Linked DNA regions of Struthio camelus. The protein of the gene in region 2 purifies or fractionates together with the protein of the main gene of each other region. This does not show direct contact. Links are inferred from orthologs where the notes say so. Each region holds a gene or a part of one and is shown on either strand. Other genes may lie near its edges.

Region 1 (7,650 bases), on a different chromosome or scaffold from region 2:
AAAACACGCTGGGCTAGGGAAGTGGGGGCCTATCCCCATCCCCTCCTGCCCAGCCCTGTTACAAGGCTGTTGAGGAGAGTGGACAGGGATGGACGGACAGCAACGGGCACACGGTCCTGCAGGAGCAAAAGGGAGAATGGGTGCAGCTCAGTGGTGGGATGTGTTCAGCCTGGGTGCAACATGGACAGGGGCTTCCAGGGCTGCACCTTGCACATGGGTGACCATACGCCCTCCTCCTTTCTCGGGCCCCACGTGAGACAGCCTTTCAGCCTGCCAGGAAAACCCTGGCACCAAGAGAGAATCCTGCACACAAACAGCCCCCAACCATCGAATGAGAAGGTCTCACAAAGTCCACCTGGGCCAGCAACACCAGATCTTCGTGCTGAGTTCAGCTCCGAATAGATCGTTCTGAACGCTGATCACTGACCAGGCGAGTGAGCCACCAAACTAATGCACTTACAACACTCAGCTGACACTACAGACAACTTCTTCTATACTGGAAGAGACCAGCATTTGAGAAATCTCATTCAAAATTAAACATATCTAACCAAGGTAAATAAACAGTTCTCCTGCACGAACAAGTGAAATATTTTCTAAACAGAAGCTAGCTCTCTTCGTTCCTGGCCTAAAGCCATAAGTCCATTAAACATGACAGTAAAATAGCACTCGGGCAAGAGCACTGCGCGTCTACCATCTCTGCTGGCAGCTCAGCGATTCTCCCCAGCAAGGGACGACAACTTAGTGCTCTGAAGAAAGACCCAGCTGAGTCAGAGTCGACCTAAGAGCGTTCCCTTCTTAGACTCTGCATGTCTACTCTACACTCTTCTTCTCAAAGTTTCCACCCATGAAACAGTGAGCGCAGTCCAAAGCTGAGAGCAAAAGCAGGCAGAACAGTGACCAAGGAAAGGCTCAAAATGCTTTTAAGGAAGCAGGCTCCTGGGGAAATTCCTACTTAGTAATTTAGCTCTGCTCTCCCTAACTATCCAAGCACTTTGAATGCAACATAAAAATCTTAATTGTGCATAGCTCCTGAAATTCTCAAGTCACTCTGGAAAGCTGTCTGAACTGCAGAAGTTTCCAACACTATAATGTAGCAGTCTTTAACCCATATATTTATGGCATTATGCAAAGGGCCTGTAAAGAAGGAACAGAAGAAAACCTCCCCTCAGGAGGCTGGGGTTCACTAGACAGGGTCCACAGCTCCTTTAGAAAGTGTTCAGGAGTGGCTGCGAACCAAAAAGGACAATGGCACAGATAGTAGATTAACTTCGTTGCAAGACCCCAGAGAAGAAAACGGTCTGAAAAGAGCAAACCTCTGTTTAACCCTGTATGGGAAAAGTGAAACCCTCATAAGGAGCGTTTTTTTTTTTTCAAACAGGCACAAAGGGTAAATACATTCCTGGCCAAGACTGATATGTCTGATGTTTTTTCCCCATGTGAAAACCCTTCAGATACCCCTCTGAAGAGGGGATCCAATTAAGGCCACTGCTCCGTCTCTAACACTCCCTGCTCAGAAGGGCTGCCGACCACGTTAGATAGCTCTCTTCACAAGCCGCCCAGCGACACGCACGGCTCCTGTGTGGCAGGAACGACACCATTCCAGGCCCACATGCTAAGATGCCATTGACTTTGTTATAGCGGAGATCCTAAAGGCAGAAGGCAAACCACCAGGCCATCCCTGCCCAAAGCAGAAGCAAGGCCAAAGCACATCTCGCCGATGGCCTTGTTCACAGTAAGGGGAATCTACGTTCAAACTTCCTCCGACCTCGTCAGACTCTGCTGCTACTGCTCTAACTCTTTTATAGGCTGTGCCAGCTATAGAAAGCACATGCTATTTCAGTGTAGAGCACTCATCACCGCGTTTAGCTTGACCTGGGTTGCAACAAGACAGTGACGGATCCCACTGCCTGCAGATATTTGCCTATGGGCCGGTAGTATTACAAAGAGTTGGATATGGAGTAACAGGTGGAAGAACTGAGAGCGGTGGAAGGGATGATGCCTAAGAACCAGCCTCAGCTCTCATACAATAAGACGGACACAGGCGGACATACAATGCATTGGCAAAAGTCCTGGCTTGGGGAATTGTCCTACACATTCCTGTCCCTGCGCAACACTCTGCTGTGCTTGTACAGTTGATTACATGGACACGTGGCAAAACAGATCAGAGAGCCAATGCCAAGGAAAACAACCACCGCTACCAACAAAAAAGCCTGTGCAGTTCAGGGGACCAATTGTTCTGAAAAGCAAAACAAAGCAACAACAACAAGCCCCATTTCCACTGTGCTATTTCTGGGCTGGATCAGCTGCCTGACCTAGCCCACTAAGTGGATTCATAAACAGCTGTTCAAGCATAACAAAGACAGCGGTGTCGGTGGGGACAAGCAGCTGTAGATGGAGACGACTCAAGCAGCACTGCTGCTGAATACCAAAACTGCAGCCTAAGGCACCATTATAAAATTCCTAAACAGGTTATTAGAGTAAGTTTCTACTCAGTTGCTACTCCAGACCTTGGTAAAGCTTCTACATGTTGCCCAAATCAATAAAAACACAGCTCGAGAAACACAGCCAGGAAAACAATAAGGCACTTTTTGTTCACAAGTTGGAGCATGACCCAGGGCAAAGGAGGCTGGAGTAGCCTAAGTAACATTAACGTTCATTAATATCGCAAGAGGAACTAGAGTGTTAATTCTTCCACCGCTCTTTCTGCCTGTGCTTTCTGAAATAGAAGTAAGGCTGTGTCTTTACAGGATTTTTTTTTTAAATGGCATCGACAGCAGAAGTATCACTGCTAGCACAGATTCTAGAAGCGCAGAGAGGCGTAAAATCCCTTTTCCAACTAACAAACAAGCAGCACCACAGCTCTCCAGGCTGCTTCTCATCACCAAATGCAAGCCTAGGGTCAGGAAACGTAAGCCTCACCTAAGCCTGTACACATAAGGTTTCTTCTTCACTGACGCTGTGTCCAAGAGGGGACACCAGGCATGCGAATGAACGTTGCCCCCCCCCCCAGCCCACCCCAAACTTTTAGGGCTGCTCTACTCAGCGCGCAGCTCAGCCAGGCTGCCGGCGCCAACCTAGCTGCACTGGTGTCACCGCACAGAAAAACGGCCCGTGACCTTCCCGAGCGCGCTCCTGAGAGGAAGGCTCCCCTTGGCAGGAGCTTCGTCGCCGCCTCAGGCGGGCGGCCCGCGCTCTGCTCTTCCTGCCCGGCTCACCGAGCAGGGGCGCGGGGGGCCCCCCGCGCAGAGGCCTCCGCAAAGGGGCACCGGGCGGTGCGGGCCTTACGTGTGCCTGCGAGGGCGAACCGTCCTTCGGCTCTTCCTCCTCCTCCTCCTCCTCCTCCTCGGTGCTGCTGTCGCTGCCCGAGTCCTCCAGGCCGGAGTAGACGCTCTCCTCGCTGTCCGTCAGGTCGTCGCTTTCCGTGCCCGGCTCCTCCGGCACCGCCGCACCGGCAAGAGGCCGCTGCAAGGCAAGAGCCGAGGTCGCATCACACCGGGGCCGCGAGGGTGGGGGGGGGGGACCCGGGGGCGACACCGGCGGCGCCCGCGGGGCCCCTGACAGGGCCCGGGCGGCCCCCGACAGCCGCCGCCTCCCCCCTGCCCCGGCGCGGCCGCCCCGTAACCATGGTGACGCCTCCCCGCCGCCGCCCCGTAACCATGGTGACTCCCGCCCCGCCGCCGCCCCGTAACCATGGAGACGCCCCCCCACCTCCCTCCCCCGCGGCGCGCGCGCCCCCCGACCTGCTCCATGGCTCCTTCCCGCCGCCCCGCGTGCGCCGCCGCCGGCCACGTGCGCGCGGGTCAGAGGTCACGGCGCACCGCCCCCCCCACCCCTCCCCTCCATCCCGGACCGGTTATTTTCTCATTCTTCTTCCGCTTCCGCCTCGCCGCCGGCACGCACCGCGCCGGCCCCGGCGGGAGGAGGGGCGAAGACAGCCGTTCGGACGGAAAAATAAAAAATAAAATTAAAAAAAAAAAAGAATCGGGGAGGGAGGTCAAAGGTGAGAGGGGAACTCGGCCTGAGGCGCATGCGCCCTAGCCCACCCGCCCCTCCCCGCCCCGCCGGGGGCACCGCGCATGCGCGCGGAGGGGCGGACCCGAGGCGCCGGCCCGGCGGCGCATGCGCGGTGCCCCGCCCCGCGCCGGGCGGTGGCGGCGGCGCGGAGGGGGCGTGGCCCCCCGTCCACGGGCGGCGGCGGCGGCGGCGGCCGCGGAGGGGGAGGGGGCGGGGCGGTCCCGCGCATGCGCGCGGCCGTCCCGCGCGGGGGGCTTGTCTCGGAGGCGTCCCAAGATGGCGGCGGCCATGCTGGGCCCCGGGGGTTGCAGTGCGCAGGCAGCGGCCGGGCCCCGCCGCGGCGGTCGCCGGCGGCACTAAACCCCGCGCCGCCCGCCCGCCCGTCTCGGCCTTCCCTTCCTCCCTCCCTTCCCCCCCCCGCGCCCGCCCTCCGGCGGCTCCCCGGGGGGGGGGGACGCGCCGCGGCCTGCCCCGGGGCCTGCAGCCGCGGCCGCCATGGAGGGGCCCGGCGCGGCGGCGGTGGGCGCCGGCCCCGGCGGCAGCAACGTGCCCGCTTTCCTCACCAAGCTGTGGACCCTGGTGGAGGATCCCGACACCGACTCGCTCATCTGCTGGAGCCCGGTGAGTCCCGCTTGAGGGGACGACGCGGCCGAGCCCCGGCCTGTGGCCCGGGCTCCGCTGTGACTTCGCCAGCGCCAGACCTGAGCCTCGGTGTGTCACAACGTCGCAGCGGGTTCCTGCGCCTCTCCGGGAGAAGCGCTTGCCGAATTAGAGGCCTTCCCCCCACCCCCAGTGCTTGTGCAGCCTGTGAACCTCGTTGCCTGAGTAACACCCCACGGGGAAACGAGCTCTCCCCTGTACTTAAGGGAAAAGCGGTGTCCAGGTGCTCGCCTAACTGTTCCTGCGGCAGGGAACGCTGTGTGTGGCTTTTAGAAGCGTCATTATAGCTTGCAGCGGTAGAGCCTGCGTGCAGGCGAGCCTTTCTAGCCTTTGCCCAGCGCTGGGCACGTGCTTCTGGTGCGTTTCTAAAAAAAACGCCCCAGGTTTGTACTTAACACCAGTCACGCAAGCTTCGTTTTCCATCTCTTCTAGCCACTCGTGAAAGTTTAACTTTTGTCTGAAAGATAGCGGTATCCAGAGCGTATCCTGTGAGCAGTCTTTTGGAGGGTGATACGTTCACAGTGCTCACCTGCAGTCAAAATGGAAAGCTTCCTTGCTGTTTGGTTCTTAAGTTGACAGACCAAACAGTTAAGTGGGAATCAAACTCTTATGAATGCTCAATTACTCCGTCTCCCACAGTCTGTTAACAGACTCCCATATCACCTTGTCCTGACTCCAGATCAGATACTTGCTACCAGAACCGATGAGGGGAGAGAAATACGCTGACATTGGTAAGAGTGAAAAGGGCTGTCATACACAGGTTTCACCTCAGATGGAAGTGAGGAGCGAAGACAATGGGAACTGTTGTTAAAGATAACAAAAATGAAAGATAAGGGCCAAAATAAAAGCTAATATATCCTGGGAATGTTTTTTCTTGATCATAGCGTGATCATAGCTGCTCTCTACCGACTTCCGTCTGCTTATCTGACTCAATGTGGTAGTAACGAGATGAAAGACCTGCACTGTGTGTTTTCCACAGATATTGCATTGCTCTTTAACTATGCAAGTCATTGCCTGTAAACAAATGCCTTGTCTTGTCACTGGAACAAACAGAGACTTAATGCCTTGCGTTTAATGAGTTTATGATCATTACCGTGTTGCTGGAATAGTAACCATGAGAAATTGCATTTGCGGGAGGGGCGGTGAACAACATTACCCTGTTCCCTTGCGTTTGGGAACTGCAGTGGGAAATTCAAGTTGCCTTAATCTTAGCTGTGGGTGGAGGAGGTTGCTTGGAGATACTATGCAAACTTTGGGCTTCTGTTTACAAGCAAACAGATTCGCCTAGGCTTCTTGGGTAGTGCTACAGTGAACTGGGACTGGAAATCAGCAGGCTTTTGTAAATAGGAATGATGTGCTTTGCTTGTGCTGCCAGGTACGCAAAGATGCTTACATCTTTAAGTTTCTCCTCCTTCTGGGGGGAGAGGGAAAGAAGGGATGAATGGTACCTGTGATGCGATTTTAAAACTCAAGAGTTTATTGAAACGCGTGGTGTTTGTCAGTGTTGAGGCTGCACAGAGGACTTCCTGACTGCTTGCTTCCATCCCTGTGGCATGATTTGCTCCTCCCTCTTCTTTGGGGTTATTTCTAATCTGGGCCATTTCAATTTGTGCCATGAGTACGCAAAGTTGTATTAGCCCATCGAGGGGGTAAGTAAACTGTTCCTAGGAGGCGGGAATGAAAAGGCGAGGAAGAAACAATCATAAACTGTTTTTTTCATCTTGTGAAACAAGCATCCTGGGTAAGGATTATTTCATGGTAACTGTCCAGGTACGTGTTCTTGTCCTGTGTTAAATGTGCAATATTCTAATTTGTACAATGTGTAATAAACTCCTCCATGCTTACTGTAGGGTAAGTGCGCATGAAAAGCAGTACAGTAACTCACTCATGGTGTTGGAGCCCTAAAGTTCAGCCTGGAGACACACTCCAAGGCAACTTTGCTAGACTTGTAAATAGATTTTTAGATTTTTTTTTTTATACTCTTGATAACTGGATGACTCTTATAGGTCTTGACAAGGGAAGGTCTGGATACAACTCTCAAATTTATCGTAAAGGTCTTAGCTCCTGAAGGTCTTCACTTCAGAAGTTTGTTTTTGCTTTTATGGAATGACTGTGCCTGGCATCTGACCTCCTTGTTATTCATGATGTTGGAAGTACATATTTTATGAGTTGATGATGAAATCTGTGCGAAACATCCACTGTGTGAAAACCTGGAGAAAGAGAGGGCTCCTCCCCTAAGTAGTTCTCTTTTCTTTTTTCTTTCCTTTTTTTAATGCAAAGAGTGTGGATACAAAACCAAAGTGGCTGATTATTCGTAAACTATCTCAATGGTGCAGGATGTTGGCTGGAGGAGAAAAGAGCTTTGGAAAATCTACGCAGCGGTAGTCCGAGAACTGAGCCTTTTAGTATCAGTGAAAAGCAAATTTTGCTTTGGTGGGAGAGGGACAGAGTAGGAGACAAATCTTTGCTTCATGCGCAAGTTGCTTGCTTTGTTGTTCATCCCGTTCTTTCTTTTCTCTCTCTCCCTTTATCTTGTACCTGTTCTCTTTTTATCATCTGCATTTATTTCCTTTCTTTCAATTTCCTGTGCTAATGGGTGGGAGGGAAAAGCTGCAGGGGTTCAGGCGCATGGATCTTGAAGTGCTTGCAATGAGGAGAGATCTTTTATGTGTTTGTGAGAAGAAATCATCTCAGTAGAAAGGAAAATCAACATAACGGGAGGGTTAAAGAAGCAGAATATACTTCTTAGATGTCTAACTCTTAATTTTACTGCTTTGAAGGTAAATTCCTCAAATATAAATTTGTATGATTCCGTGACACAGTTTTTTTAGTAACTTTCTCATCTTTGAAACCTCTCTACAGGTAATGCTGGATTTTCAAATGTGCACCCCTGTGTAGTCACTGCGGGTCTGAGAGGCAGGATGGCTTTTAGTCATTTAGCATATTCTCAGCATCAGATTCTGTTATGGGCCTATT
Region 2 (8,362 bases):
AGAGACGATTAGGGATACAGCACTGATATTGTTAAATCAGTTGCAGTATACACGGAAAACAGATAAAAACTTCTGTCTCTACGTGTGGCATGTTCTGCTAGCGCTCACTAAAAGACAGTTTTACTCATGAAAGATGGTTTTCAAGTTGCCTTCTCAGTTGTGCCTGCTATTGGTCATACTCAGTTCTGGCAATGGTTCTTTTCTTTCTTTCTTTTTTTTGACTGATACATGCTAGTAAACCTTGAAAAACTAAAACAGGTTTCTAGCCATTTGGGTCATTATAACCTTGAGTACAGAATGGCAATTTATCCGCTAGGGGGAGGCCTGTAAATACTAATGGATAATTACCATTGTGGCAGTAAAAGAGACGGTGATAGACTCTAAATCTTCTCCTGATTTTTAATGAAGGCAGAGTTATCCTGATCGCTGCGTAGACCCAGATACCTCTTAAACCAGAGCTGGAGCTGTCTACTTGAGAGTTCTGTCTAAATGACTAAGGATGCACAGGGAATGGTTAACCAAACATGTATATTTTGTAAATATTACTTTAGCTTCCATAGGCCATTTATATCGTACTAAAAAACTGAGCTCTAAAAATCCAAGATGCCTTCTGCTGCTTATGTTCTGTGTTTAACTTTGCTCTTCCGTGCATACAGATCACAGAAATTGAAGTGGGTTTCACTTTGTTCACAGTCAGATTTGCTTTCTCGTTTTAAGGCAGGGTTACATCCCTTGTAGAAAATAAAAAATGAAAAGAATAAAGAATACTTTTTAAATGGAATTAGCTTCTGGAGTCTTATTCAGGTTCAAAAATCTGAAATTTGGAAATCTGAGTATATGCTTTGCGGATGCCAAGACTTGGTGCAAATGACCTGTGATTGAAACACGTAAGTTTAAAAAGCTTTTCTCCATTTAGCAAGTACATTTACCCCTCTATGTTCTTACTAATGTTTTGCATTTTCTATTGAAGTTAATAGGAGCTATATTTATATACCTAATTATTTGCATTTGATTACTGTAACTCCAATGAGCAGATGACACGATCAAACTGTACGGGCCGTACAATGGCTGCAGTAATACAGCAGTCAGTGTGAGATCAGACCCTCTGTGGATAGTGATCTATTTCATCAGCTGTTAGACTAAATTATGAGCTACAAAAACAAGGACAAAAAGGTCAGTAAAGTTATCTGTAGTATAAGAGGTAGAGTAGTAGAAGATTGCAAATCGCGGCATCTTTAATTTTCTGAAATAGGGGGCCAAATCATTTCAGTGATTTTTTTTGTTTTGTTGATGCCAAGAAGTCCACAATTCTGAACAAATCAAGAAGTCAAAATCTCCTCTGCTCCGGTTGTAGTTAGCAGAGAATTTTTAGTTAAGACCTTTTTGCTTTTAATTGAAATGGTTTGTACAGCTGGAGCAGGGTATTTCTTCAAAATGCAATCAGTGGAGTTCTGTGCTATTCAGTATTGATACTCTGGATGTGGATGAAGCATCAGGCTGTGGAAGTCATGGTAGTGGATTTGCCATGTTTATCTAACCTGAACATTAAGAGACTCCACGTGCCCGCTGCACTTATTAACAGAGCCTTTTTATGAACTCAATCTTAAATGCATCCAGCAAAGAACTTGTATTCCCACTTAGGAATACAGCTCTAGACACTTGTCATACACATTACTTACCCACAGATCCATCAGTAAAAGCTTTCTAGAATACCTGATCCAGAACAAACATTTTCGACTCATAGTCCTGATTAATCCAACTTTTTCTGTTCAGGTAATCTGCTAAATTATCATGGGTACTCAGAAGGTTGACCAGCCAATTTAGAGCTTATCCCAAGACACATTGCTTCCTGACATACCACAGAGATTTACTTGCTTATAATGGTGCTGCTTTGAACAACCTGAATTATTCAAGCCCATTTAGGAGAGAAGCAGCAGCACCATGGATAGCCTGCACAAACATGCCAGGCCATCTTGGACAGAACTGTCACCCAAGTCCTTGTGTGAACAGTAGATGAAACAGAGCACCTTGGCAGACAATTCATGATCCATCCGTGACAGAAGGTATGACAGCACGCAGTGAAGAACTTCCCCAGGTGGCCTATCTATGCTGTCCTGAGGTTTCTGGAACGTAGTTGTGCATATAAAATGAATTTACCACAGGCCATGGTATAATGTGGAAGCTGAGGCAAATTCTCTCCACAGTCTTGAAGATCAAAACGGAGAGATGATGTAGTTGCTGGCTTGAGGAAGAAATGGCTTTCTTGAGTTAGGGTCCTGGATTATTCCTTGGAAATCCAAGTGCTCATATGAGCCTAATGATTTTCTAATTGACTGGTGAAGAATCTGTCCATTTTCAAGACAAAGAAACACATGAAGACCCTGTACAGCTTATTATCTTTGGTTAACTGTGATTACATGGTTTCTGGTTGTTTTGGAACACCCTGGAACAAATGCTCTTCTGGGTCTGCAAAACCCTATGCAGATATCAACCTAAAGAAGTCAGGAGCACTATGTTTGCACCAATATGAAGAAGACAGAAGTCTCTCCAAAAAATAACAAAAGCTTCTTCATTATTTTCCCTTCTGAAATGGAATATATAGATCTCGAACCTGGAGTCTCATCTTAAAATACGTGGAGAGTACAGAAACTTCTTCATCTTTTAACAAATTTTCGTGGACCTGAAATTTTTGCTGAGCAGTATTCCTTACATGAACATTTCCCTAAATCAGTCTGGTCATGAATAAGACTAACAGTAATACAAACTAGAAGCCATGTTGCCTCGGAGTTGCAGTTATGGCCCAGCACAACATTGTATTAGAGAATAAAAAAGTGAATCACTGAGTTGCTATCCCCTATAACCTACCTAGCTGGGAATTCTTTCAGCTGTAAGAGGTACCAGGCTGAAATCTCTCTCTCAGGAAGAGATTTTAATTGACAGAAAAACCATGAGATCTAGCCAACTAAAATCAGTCACAAAAATGATTTTACTTCTTAGTCCACACTCCCTTCTCTGCAGCTGGAGCCTTGTCTCCGCGAGTCTCTCTCCTGTAGACAATCAAAAGCACCCCGACCTATTAGCTCCTGCTAATTTCTGTGAAACGTACTCTCCTCCATTCCTTAGCATGGCACAAATGCACAAACACGTCTAACTTACAATTGTTAGCTAGCCCTTTGAACTTTCCTTTTATTCATTCTTCACGTACTTGCTGACCTCATTCATTAACTCTGCTAAGCATACAACTAGCTATCAGCTGCAGCAAAACAAAGAAACCCCATTCTTCATTTCTCTATTTACACTCCATCAGGCACAAAAACTATGTGTATTACCTCAATTTACCTAAGTAGTTTCCCCGGCAAGACCTTTTAACATTTCTGTATGCTGTTCCCCTAAGTCAGTGGCTTTCGTTGACTTGGCAAGGACTGTGGTATATGCCACAGAGAACTTATGGTTTAAGCATGCTTCTTACTGTTCTGAAGATGAGACCAAAGAGTGAAATTTCTCTACAGATTTTTACAGATTGGAAGTAGAACAAATCTCAGATATCAAGTCTTTTGAGGCAACTGCTGATATTAATGAAGCTGGACAGAGATGGCTTTGATAAGAGCATGAGAGGTAGCAGGGTTAGGAGATATGTCCAGGGATGTGTATCACAGTCCAGGACTGATTTTAAGATATGCGAGATATGTGACTGTTGCTCTAACAAATGGGTAAGTCAGAAGCGATGATGCTGATAATACGAGCATTTCAAGGTACAGACTGAAAAAAAAAAGGTCAGTTTACAATACCTGCAAGTCAAAGGTGCACAATAACAATGAGGATAGAAAGAGCAGTCTTTGATGGACTACTGTGTAGTTCTGAAGGCAAGCAATGTACAGAATGGAAGTGTTACAGGAAGGAAGAAGCAAGTTTGAGGGGTTATTAGGTATACCAGCATAATGAAGTAAACTCATTCTGCCAATGGTTAAAGGAGTATCACCGTCAAGCAGTATCAAGAGATCTTTGGGCTTTACTTCCTCAAGCAAGAGGAGATCCTGACTGTCCCCAGGAGCGGGAACACACAGGCTTTTCTTAAGTACTTCAGTAATGACTATCTCCAAGGAATGCATGCCTTGAATTCCTTGAAGCAAGTAACTTTGCAGCAGGTAATGTCTGCACTTAAGGGACACTCTGCATTCACTGTTCTACTTAAAGTAACTATCAACAGGCATCTGTGGCATGACTGCCGGATGACTACAAGTGGAACAACTATGAAGTACAGTTAACTCAAACTGAACACTTAGGGGGAGTGCATGAAAAACTGATACAGCAGCCATAGAGGAAGGCATGATTTTCAAGTTTTGCGCTTTGACATATTCCTTGGTATTAGTGAAACTGAGGGCTGAGACACATTAAATTACAAAAAGCTAAAGAAGATCAAAACAGCTGAATCTGAAGAGCATGTCTGTCCATCCTCATACTTGGAAATAAAGATTATTTTTATTTGCTATTTGTCGGGTTTAGTCAATTACAACCTTAAGTTATCAGTCACAGGGCAAGCAAGATGCTCTCTGGGCTTTGGTCACTATACCAGGAGGTAGGAATTAATGGGCTGTTACGTCCCAACCATAGGAAGTTCAGAGTACGCTGCAGGGCTGTGTGTTCTCTGGGGACACTGCTGGCCTAAAAATCCCCTTCTCCTGTATCAGACTTACACTCTCGTAGCAGGAACTGGACAGAGCAGTAAAGCAGCATGCGTATCTTTTAGGTTTACTTTTCCAGAGTCTGCCTCAAGCATTGCTCCTGTTAAGTGGGCCTGTAAAATACATGTGCACTCCTGCAGAAAGGTAAAAGAGAGGACTCGCTCCACGCACTTATCCGCCCTGCCTCTTCCTGAGGAAGCCCCCGGGGGTGGGTCCAGACTGCAGATCTCTGGGGGCAGCAGCCGCCCCCCCCCCCCGGTCTGTTAAGACAAGACTCGCTCCAGTGCGACAGCAAGCAAAGCAGCCCTGCTCAGAAATCGCCAGTCACCCGCGCCACGCCGCCGGCTCTGCCGGGGGTGCGGGGCCCTCCCGCCGGGCCGGGCGCTCGCAGCGCAGGGGGTGAAGGAAACTTGCAGCCGCTGCCCCGGGGCCGGGCGGGGTGACTCAAGGGGCAGCCCCTGCCCGGCGGCCCGGAGGCGGCCAAGCTGTGCTAGACGCAACCAGAAGTTTCCAGCCGGCCAGCTTACCCCGCGCCTCTCGCTCTTCCTCCTCCGCCCCTCCTCCTCCTCCGCCCCTCCTCCTTCCCCTCCCCTCCTCCGCCTTCCCCCTTTGCACAGAGCGGCTATTTCCAGACACTTCCAGCCCCTTGTCTCCTCCCTCCCTCCCGCCCCGCTTGATAAAGGCGCCTGGCCGGTTTCCCCGCCTGACACTGCAGCTCCTGTCTGGCCCGGCATGAGTGCCGCCACTCACTCCCCGCTGGTGCAGATGGAGGGCGGCAGCGCCGAGCCGCTGCCCCCCGGCTGGGAGATCAAGATCGACCCGCAGACCGGCTGGCCCTTCTTCGTGGATCACAACAGCCGCACCACCACCTGGAGCGACCCGCGCCTGCGGGCCGAGGTACGGCGGGTGGGGAGGTGGGTGCCCCGCTCCGCGCCGCGCTGCTCCGCTCCCTTCCGCGCCCCGCCGCAACTTCGGCGGAGCAGCTCGGAGCGGGCGGGGGGGGGGGGGGGGAAGAGGGGGGAGAGCCGGCGGGGCGGCGCGGCCGCGAAGGGCAAAGCCGTGACAGAGCGGGCGGGGAGGGGCCGCGGCCGTTGGCGCCGCGCGGCCGTTGGCGCCGGGGCGGGGGGCAGGGCGCGGCCGGCGGCCCCCGCCCGGGGGGGGGGCAGGGCGGCCGGCGCTCTCCTCAGTGCATGGCAATGCAGTGAGGCCAGGAGCTGCCTTTTGTCTCTGACGCACTGCAGTCCCTTTTTTGTGCATTAAATCATTTGATACCTCGGCCCCTGTAATGTTTATTTAAAGTTGGTTAAGTCCACCCAGCCTGCCTGGGAAGACGCAAAACTTTGATGCCTTTTTTTTTTTTTTTTTTTCCCCCTGCTCCGGGTAGTCCAAACAGTGAATGCGTTTAAAAAAAAAAAAAAAAAAACCTAGAAACCCAATCCAGAGTTTATAACTTGTCAAGGTTTCTTTTCTGGTCACAAAGTATCTCAGTAATTTTGCTGTCTGGTTTTGTTTTGTTTTTAAGCATGCTCAGGGAAAAGCTGTATCTTAGTCCAAATATGTCCATGGGAAGAGAGGCAGCTGAGGGGAGAGCGGGTGTGAGGGGGTAAGGGCCCTCCTCAGTGGCTCTTTCAAGTCAAACTCTCTTGGTTCCCGGGAATACAGCGATTTGACCAGTATTAGCGTTTCTGTAAAGAATGCAGTGACTAGCCAGAAAGTGCTGGAAACTTTGAGCGGCACCAGAAGTTCCGAGTCCAGTGGAAAAACAATTCCTGTGGGATTTTTTTGCGTTTTCATCCCCACTTGGCCACACTTTACAGCTGTCGCCTTCGATTTTTTGCGACTGAATGAAACGGGTGGCGAGGGAGCGTTCCTATCAAAAAGCGCTGACTGTTTTTTTTTTTTTTGATTTGGCCATCCTCGCTACCTAAAACGTCACCCAGAGTTAGGGCCTAGAAAAGGGCCCCCGCCACGTACCAGCGGAGGACAACCGCCCGGTGAAAGGCGGAGGGAGGCCGCAGCCTGGGCCTGTGCGGCGGAGCCACGCGCCTGGCCGTCGGCCGGTTGGCGCGGCTGCGCCGGGGAAGGGCTCCTGCGGCTTGGGCCGTGGCTGGGGCGCTGCCCGGCCGCGCGCCCGGCGTGAAGGCCGCCGGGTTGGCAGGAGGCTGTGTGATGAGCGTGACCGTGCTCGTGTCAGCCCTCGAGGGTCACGGCCGCCTTGCTGTTTTGGCCTCTTGGGAAGAGCCTCGCGCCTGCTTGCTGGGAAGGAGTTCTGCTTGGGTTGCTGTTTTAAGCAGTAGCCCCCTATTTAAGAAATATATATATATATATAAAAATTAATTGCATGAAACATATCTGCGATGCACCGTTTTGAAGATACCTGGTATCTTCAAAATGTGTCTTCAATATACATCACAGACTTTTTTTTTCTTGGTAGCCTTATATAAATTACAAGGGTCAAAGCACTAGATACAGATTGTTATTTCAAGAATGGAAGTTTTTCTAATTACTAATTGAATGATAACGGCCTATTTTGAGAGTGCAGACCGTAACTGAAATCTCAGTGTGAGAGCAGCGTGGTATTTAAAACAAATGACCAGGGTATACTCTTCTGGCATAGAGCTGCTCCATCAGGGTAGCTTAGTGCAGTTGCGTTCACAGATACAAGCTATTGTTTTGAGAGTGTGGAAATGAATCCAAATGGACAAAACATATCCTTCTGTCCCATTTGTGGCTTTTTAAGTGCTAGTTAATTTAATATGCAAGTGTATTGTTCTGGTCGTAATGTAAAGAGGCCTTAAAAAATGTAATTCAATAATGGGAATATAAAGAATAGCATAGGAAAAGTGCTTTAACTCCTTTTTGGAGACACTGTTCTCCTAGTATAATGAGGCACCTGTTACACTGGCTGCTATGGCAATAAAAAGAACAAAATAGTTAAGTATGTTTCTTACAACCATAAAACATAGATGAGGAGAAACTAGTGCTATTTTACTCAAAGGCTTCTGTTATGGAAATACTGCTTGATGCTAACCCATTTAAGAGAAAAATAACACTTAAGCTGCTTTTGGTAATTGCATGAACACAGGAATTTGAAGTGCTCTAATGGATCAGTCTTCTTTTGAGTAGGTGCCTGATACAAGACAAATTTTCAGCCCTATCTGATATGAAATCTGTGGTAATGAGAAGTACTTCTTCTCCTGCCAAGTTGCAAGGGTTATTACAAATAGAAAAAGTTGCACCTGCTTTTGAAGGGCTTTGGTGGAATATAGTGTTGATTTTGGAGAGCTGCAGTGTGATCTTGCTCACAGAAAAATCTCCATATCACCATCTCTTATGGTGATAGAAATTGTGTGTGACTGATCTGATAGGGCCACTTGCCAGAGCCTAGAGAGTCTGTTCAAATTAATGGACAGCTTCTGAAACATTCATTTGTTAAGTACCATTTTATTTACGAGTACTATTGAGCAAAAACTCAGAATGTGACTCGAGGAAAGTGTTTCTGTTCCTAAATAATATTTTTGTAGCTAAGCTACGCCAGAGAAGATAGAGATTGATCACTGACATTGAATTTCAAATCCAACAATGTTTTTTTTTTTTTTTTTTAAAGGCATTAGATACTACTTTTACTTAAACTAGTTGAGAAGGACTGAATTGCAAATACAGGCAGACAGAGGTGAGGT
Region 3 (7,286 bases), on a different chromosome or scaffold from region 2:
TTTCAATTGTGTACCTAGAGGAAACATTTCAGTTTTCAGGTGAACATTGTAGCAGATCTATTTCCAATTCAATCATTTCTTAATTTTCAACCTTAGAAAAAGTCTACTGTGCAGAAATACTGCAAAACTAACTTAAGCTACTAAAGTAAGAGATCAAGAAAGAACTGAAAAACTTGAATCCTAGTTTTCTTCTTCTATCTAGGGAAAAATGACCTGGCAAGCCATCTGTGAAACATACACAGCCCAAAAACATCATTGGGCCCTCTTGATATTCCTGTTTTCAACCTGAAGGACTGGGTCCCCATTCATATCAATGGAATTTTAGTATTCATTCAGAACAAATGAAAAACAGAAACCAAACCTAGAAATGCCAACCTAAGGAGTGAAGTTTATACGCATGAATTATTTCTTACCTAGTTGTAAAGCAAAGAAACAGAATTAAACTTTCATTAAGTCTAAATTCAAGAGAAATCTAACATCCATTCAAATCTCATGCAAAAGTAAAGAAAACAATAATTTAAACCCCAGATCAAATATAGGAGTTTTGATTTAAATTTATCTTGAAATACACAATCATCATACATAAGATCCACTAAGCTTTAACAGAGCTAGATAAGTTTTCACTAATCCTTCCATTCCTTGAATAAATCAAGTTACTTTATAGATTTAAAAAAAAAAAAATCATTTTCCGTTAGCAGAAAATGAGTTCAGGATACTGCTGATTAGGTTCTTCATAAATGCTACTGAAGAAATGCATCATTTACTACGTAAGGAGAAAAATACTGGAATACTAAACACTGCACAACTCTACGTTCAAAATCAAGGCTGGACTTCACATTTTCTAAAATCAAGGCTGGACTTCACATTTTCTAAAATCAAGGCTGGACTTCACATTTTCTAAAATCAAGGCTGGACTTCACATTTTCTAAAATCAAGGCTGGACTTCACATTTTCTAAAATCAAGGCTGGACTTCACATTTTCTAAAATCAAGGCTGGACTTCACATTTTCTAAAATCAAGGCTGGACTTCACATTTTCTAAAATCAAGGCTGGACTTCACATTTTCTAAAATCAAGGCTGGACTTCACATTTTCTAAAATCAAGGCTGGACTTCACATTTTCTAAAATCAAGGCTGGACTTCACATTTTCTAAAATCAAGGCTGGACTTCACATTTTCTAAAATCAAGGCTGGACTTCACATTTTCTAAAATCAAGGCTGGACTTCACATTTTCTAAAATCAAGGCTGGACTTCACATTTTCTAAAATCAAGGCTGGACTTCACATTTTCTAAAATCAAGGCTGGACTTCACATTTTCTAAAATCAAGGCTGGACTTCACATTTTCTAAAATCAAGGCTGGACTTCACATTTTCTAAAATCAAGGCTGGACTTCACATTTTCTAAAATCAAGGCTGGACTTCACATTTTCTATCAAAATCATCACTACATACAGTAAAAACAGACTGTTTGCTGAAACCTGAAAGTCCAATACATTGACTCAGTCAAGATGCACTACTTCTCTACAGCCTGCAGCACAAGAGCAGAATGGCTAACACAAGTGGTGTGGCATTTCAGTCAGTTGTAGGACTCCAGAAAGAAAAGCAAAAGAAACAAACTACACAAAAAAGTAAACATAGGAACAAAATTTATGAAAGCATTTACTCACTGGTCCAAACAAATCTTCTCTGACAACATAATCCAGCAAACTAAATTGTACTTTAACCACTGGGCTCTTGATTCATCAACTGAACATATAATCCTTCCTGACTGGAAAACAAGGAGCTCCCCAAAGTGTAAACAAAACTTAAGTCCAGCAAGCAGCAGTAACTGCAATCTCAGAGGACCAAGAGTTTGAACCCAGTTTCATTCCAGCTAGTCACACTATGTCAACACCTTGTTCTTATCACTCTTTGATGCTTTACATCATATTAAAAAAAAAAAAAGCACTTGACAACTGATTGACTATGCAATGTTGCAAGTTTGACCATTTGCACATTAGCATCGCTGCAAATTCAGCTTCTATAATGTTATCCTGGCCAAAATGAAATCAACCAAGCATTATCTCATTATCAGAATTCATGATAGATTTGCTCAATGTTTTCAGTCTCTTCTAACGCTCAAGTCTGTGGCGCATTTCATCAACCAGCACAAGCTCTGACTGTTAAACTGTAATACAGCATAAAGTGTTACTACAAGCAGGAATACTGGTCATAAATAACTTCACTTCCCAACCCACGGCCCTCTCCTAAGTCCTGAAAATACAAAGCCATTTATAACTTGGACACCTCTGGCCACCACTCAAATGATGTGCTGCCCTCAAACACAGCACATCATACTGAGCCTACTCTGTAAGTTAATAACAGCAAAATAGAATACAGCTTCCATCGCAAAAAAAAAAAAAAAAAGCAAAAGCACATTCAGTTTATAAACACACCAAAAAGTAAACTACGAATAAAAGAAGTTCAAGTAAAAGACGATCCAACACACTCAAAAGAGTCATGGGTGAACAGAGACTCCCCCTCACCTTTTTGCTACTGGCAACCGATGCAAACAAAAACAGAAATGCGGATTTTTTTCCCCCTAGCCCTTCTGCGCTTGCCGTAAACAGGAGAAGGAGGCCGAGCCGCCTCGGGATCCTCCGCTGCGCAGTCCCGAACTGCCGCTCCGCCACCGCGACTCCCGGGATAAGCCCAAGGAGGCCGCTGCCCGCGGGGGCGGCTCCCCCGCTCCCCGCCCCCGAGGGCCGGGGATCCCCGCCGCCCCGCTCCGCTGCCCACGCAGCCCTCGCTCCCGCCTCCCAGGAGCCGCCGCAGGGGCTCCCCAGCGCGGCGCCCCCGCGCCAGCCCGCAGCATGGCGGCCGCCCAGCCGGGCCGAGCCGAGCCGGGCCGAGCCGGGCCGGGCCCCACACCGCTGCCCAGAGCCGAGGCCGAGGCCGGCCCGCCCTGCCCGCCGCCACGGCCTTCCGCGGCCCGCCCAGCACTCACCGGCCCCGGAGCCTCAGCAGCGCGGCCGTCACCCTCCCCGCCCGCCCGGCGCAACGGCAGCGGCGGCGGCAGCGGCACCTCTCCTCGGACTCAAACGGGAAGTCTCGTCAACGCGACGCCGTCACTTCCGCCCGGCTGTTTCCGGAAGTTTCTGGAAAGGCGTGCTCTCGCCGCGGCCGGCCCGCCCGCCGGGCGCCGCGCGGGCCGACCCCGCCCCCTGCTGGCTGCCCGCCGCCCTGCAGCGCGCGCGCGCGCGCCGCCGGGGGGGGGGGGTGGGGAGGGGCTGCGTTCGAACCTCCCCCCTCCCACCAACGGCTGTAACGGCCGCCCGCGCCCGGGGGTGCCGGCCCCTCACCGGAGCCCCGGGGGCAGAAGAGCCTCTGCAACGGCCCTCCCTGCCCCAGGGCACGGAAAAGTGAAAAGGCTGATTAAAATCCCTACATGCCCATCTCTTTTTTAGCCTCAAAAATTGTAACCCTTCCCCTGAGCTTATTTTAAGGCTACATTAATTGTTTTCCAGCTGGCACCTGTACAGGTTCCTTTGTGGCTCACACTGTGCTGTCTGAAATTTAAGTATCCCTTGGGTCATGTTTTGAGTATGTGGTTTTCTGACGGCTGTGAGAAAAGCGTGAGCAGGGAGAGCATAGCATAAGCTGCCAAGTAATAATTCTATTTTAAAAAAATGGAGTTTATCCATGCTTTAAATTGCTGCAAAACTGTATTTCTTGCCCTTTATTTAAAAGAAGTTGCATAAAGGCATTGTTTTATGGATCAGTGAACTGAAATTAGAGAGTTTCCAAATGTAAAACCTATCTGCTCCCAAAATGAAGTTAATTCAAAGGCTACTCAGGAATTTGGAGATGAAAATGCTTATGTCGGAGTAAGATGTACCAACGCAAGAAGGAACAAGCAAGCTTGGAATAAGCCAGAGGAAAACCTAATAAAAATCAGAAAGGTAACTGGTAGGATAGCCCTGGCTTCGAAAGAAATTTAGCTGCAGTGAGATTTGATGCCAAACTGGGGTCATGAAAACAAGTCCTTAATTTACATCAAAGACATACCTAGCACCAGTGTAAGTTTCCCGTCAGCAATTAGCTGTGAAGTGCAGAAAGTTTTTGACCCACTTGGAAAGAAAAACAAAAAACGAAGAACAGTAGGTTAGACTGGCTCTTTCTAACAGGTGCAGTTGCAAACCTCAGAAGATTCAAGGTCTAGCAAGCTCAAGGGCAAACTGCAGATGAGTACTCTCTAGTTCAGGAGAAGATTATATAAAATCTTGCTCTAATTCTTTAAACATTTCTTGATGTAGAAATAAGTTTTTCCTCAACCTGTGGTAGACAAATGAGAACAAAGTATCATGTCTTTAATCTCTTAAAAATCTCACAGGCAGTAAATACACAAAAAGTAGCAAATGAAACAGTTATTTTCACAGAATCACAGAATCGTTTAGGTTGGAAGGGACCTCTGGAGATCATCTAGTCCAACCTCCCTGCTCAAGGAGGGGCCTCTAGAGCATATTGCCCAGGATCACATCCAGACGGGTTTTGAATATCTCCAGCGAAGGAGACGCCACTACCTCTCTGGGCAACCTCTTCCAATGCTCTGTCACCCTCACACGAAAGAAGTTTTTCCTCAGGTTCAGATGGAACTTCCTGTGGTTCAGTTTCTGCCCGTTGCCTCTTGTCCTGTTGCTGGGCACCACGGAGAAGAGGCTGGCCTCGTCCTCTCGACACTCCCCCTTCAGATACTTGTACGCGTTGATGAGATCGCCTCTCAGTCTCCTCCAGACTGAACAGGCCCAGCTCTTGCAGCCTTTCTTCATAGGAGAGGTGCTCCAGTCCCCTCATCATCTTGGTAGCCCTCCGCTGGACTCTCTCCAGGAGTGCCATGTCTCTCTTGTTCTGGGGAGCCCAGAACTGGACACAGGACTCCAGCTGAGACCTCCCCAGGGCTGAGGAGAGGGGCAGGATCACCTCCCTCCACCTGCTGGCAACACTCTGCCTAATGCACCCCAGGAGACCATTGGCCTTCTTGGCCACAAGGACACACTGCTGGCTCATGCTTCACTTGTTGTCCACCAGCACTCCCAGGTCCCTCTCTGCAGAGCTGCTTTCCAGCAGGCCAACCCCCAGCCTGTACTGCTGCATGGGGTTACTCCTGCCTAGGTGCAGGACCTTGCACTTGCCTTTGTTGAACTTCCTGAGGTTCCTCTCCGCCCAGCTCTCCAGCCTGTCCAGGTCCCTCTGAATGGCAGCACAGTCTTCTGGTGTGAATTTTGCTTTTTTAGAGAGTAGATTTTGTATTAAAGTGGTAGCCCAATGGATCCAGACCGTAAAATCTTCCATTTATTCACGCAAGCAGAACAAGACTAGCAAAGAAATGTAATTCTGGATGGAACTATAGGACTGAATCACAACACCCTCTACCTGAATGCAATCAGTATCGTTTCTGCTTAAATACAATTGTAGTAAGTATGATAGCATTGCATGAACTTGCCCACAGAATTTCTAACACCGTTGCCCTAATGCTAGACTGCCTAGCTCTCCAATAGCACTGTTCAGAAAGAGGCAAAATAATGGGGAAGGCTTTGAGACCTATTTTGCCACTGGAGAAAAGAAGGTGAAATGCCTTGCTCACAGCTGAGGGGAGGGCTAGCGCAAAACACATAAAATACGTGTTTCCAAAAAAGTTGTAGGAAGAAACAAAAGGTAACATAATTATATTTTAATATGTTTAATCGTTTGGCACTTGTCTTAGAAGTGAGATACGAGTAAATTTCCTGAGACTTTGCACAAGGGGGAACCACCAATAAAAATACTGATATTAGGGAACATTTTTTAACTTATTATCTGTGAGATCTGAGCTTATCTAACACTGAAAGAGAACAAGAAGGGGTTTTTTTTAGCTTTACATTATGCATTTCACATATAATTTTCCATTTTCTAGGTTATAGGGAAAGGAAGGAGATTGCAAGAACTTCAGCAAATGACAAAGCCAGCCAGATGGGGAAGTGTGCGTTGTACTGCAGAGCGCACTGCAGAGACTTGGGTGACTGCGCAAAGCATCCCCAGAACTTATATCATAAAACAACATGACCCCAGCTTGTCCCTGTCACACCTGAGCTGGTTTCTGCAGAGCCTCTTTATGTCATTGTCCCCCGTGCTCCAGTTCTGGGAGGTTTTATTATCTTGGCGCAAGGATTCATAAACACAGGTTTAGGTCAGCTCTGGCAGTGTACCTAGGCAGCAGCCCAACGCAGCGACATCAAACTGATTCTGCCAAGAAGCAGCTCAAAGTCTGTCAGGCTCGCACTGAGACTGAGAGCTGATGGGACCTCAGTGGACTTGGTGAAGTTAGGAGACAAAGGGACAGAGATAGCAGCTAAGGGCTTCATTAAGATATTTTAAGCTTTTAGGAGCAGGCAGGAATAACTCCAGAGACTTCAGGCTGACATTGCCTCTAACACAACATCCATTAGATTGCTCAGCTCCTACCAAACCAAGAAGTCTCTGCTTCTGACGTGTGGTCTCAAGCTCCCCCTATCGGTTAATGACCAGTCATTCCGTTTGACCCTACAATTTTTTTCATGGACAGAAGTAGATTAGACGTTCACGGTAATTTTGCAAGCGCAAGACTAACAGGACCAACTTACAAAAAGTGCAGAGAGTCAGCTTTTTATCCTTTTTGATATTTCTACTTCCTGTTGAACTTAACAGAGAAACATACCTCTGACATAAATCCAAGAGTGGGTCAAGAACATATACATACAAGGTCTTGTTTTCCTAGCTTCTGTTTTCTGATCAGAAGAATGTTGCTTGCTGGTAAGCAGGAAAGGAAATGCTGCTTTCATGCTGTTCTGCCCACTACACTTGTTGTCTTAGCCTGGTATGGCAGGTCATCCATCTCTTACCCCTTCAGATCTTCAGCTGATACCTCAACCTGCGAGATTTTCAAGGCTAATGAAATCTAACCTATTACATGTTAGGCAAAGTCTCTGCTTCTCCTAGATCACCTGAAGCTCAAAACAAGTATGGTGGCTATGACTACTTTGCTTTAAAGACGTGCAGCATGCTGGCTGGCCTGTCTGCCTCCTAACCTCACTAGGCTGCAGGAGCCCTGAGAGCGCACGGAGCTGTACTGAGCCAGCAGACATAGGGTCCCAAACACACAAAAAGGCTGAAGGCTCCACTCTACTACCTGTACAAGCAGAAAGTCTGTTTTCAAGGGCAGAGTCAAGGAAGCCCACTGAAAACAGGCATACTAGCTGAAAGCTCTTCTACTTCTTCTAAAATCAAGCCTC

What was found.
Region 1: the proteins of BAG3 (region 2) and HSF1 purify together in Homo sapiens (affinity purification with mass spectrometry; 3 studies listed by BioGRID and IntAct, with this or other methods). This does not show direct contact. The link is inferred for Struthio camelus from reciprocal best matches to the Homo sapiens genes BAG3 and HSF1.
Region 3: the proteins of BAG3 (region 2) and DNAJB6 purify together in Homo sapiens (co-immunoprecipitation; 3 studies listed by BioGRID and IntAct, with this or other methods). This does not show direct contact. The link is inferred for Struthio camelus from reciprocal best matches to the Homo sapiens genes BAG3 and DNAJB6.

The regions. Positions count from the first base shown.
Region 1 is NC_090943.1:172,755,429-172,763,078, reverse strand, and holds the start of HSF1 (heat shock factor protein 1), read left to right. Parts: upstream 1-4,476; 5' UTR 4,477-4,509; coding exon 4,510-4,635; exon of another isoform or gene 4,636-5,033; intron 5,034-7,650. Other genes in the region: ribosome biogenesis protein BOP1, read right to left, coding at 3,286-3,462, 3,901-4,029. UniProt on the Homo sapiens protein: Functions as a stress-inducible and DNA-binding transcription factor that plays a central role in the transcriptional activation of the heat shock response (HSR), leading to the expression of a large class of molecular chaperones, heat shock proteins (HSPs), that protect cells from cellular insult damage.
Region 2 is NC_090948.1:7,078,458-7,086,819, reverse strand, and holds the start of BAG3 (BAG family molecular chaperone regulator 3), read left to right. Parts: upstream 1-5,299; 5' UTR 5,300-5,414; coding exon 5,415-5,579; intron 5,580-8,362. UniProt on the Homo sapiens protein: Co-chaperone and adapter protein that connects different classes of molecular chaperones including heat shock proteins 70 (HSP70s), e.g. HSPA1A/HSP70 or HSPA8/HSC70, and small heat shock proteins (sHSPs), e.g. HSPB8.
Region 3 is NC_090943.1:10,884,286-10,891,571, reverse strand, and holds the start of DNAJB6 (dnaJ homolog subfamily B member 6), read right to left. Parts: upstream 3,130-7,286; 5' UTR 2,987-3,129; intron 1-2,986. UniProt on the Homo sapiens protein: Has a stimulatory effect on the ATPase activity of HSP70 in a dose-dependent and time-dependent manner and hence acts as a co-chaperone of HSP70. Plays an indispensable role in the organization of KRT8/KRT18 filaments.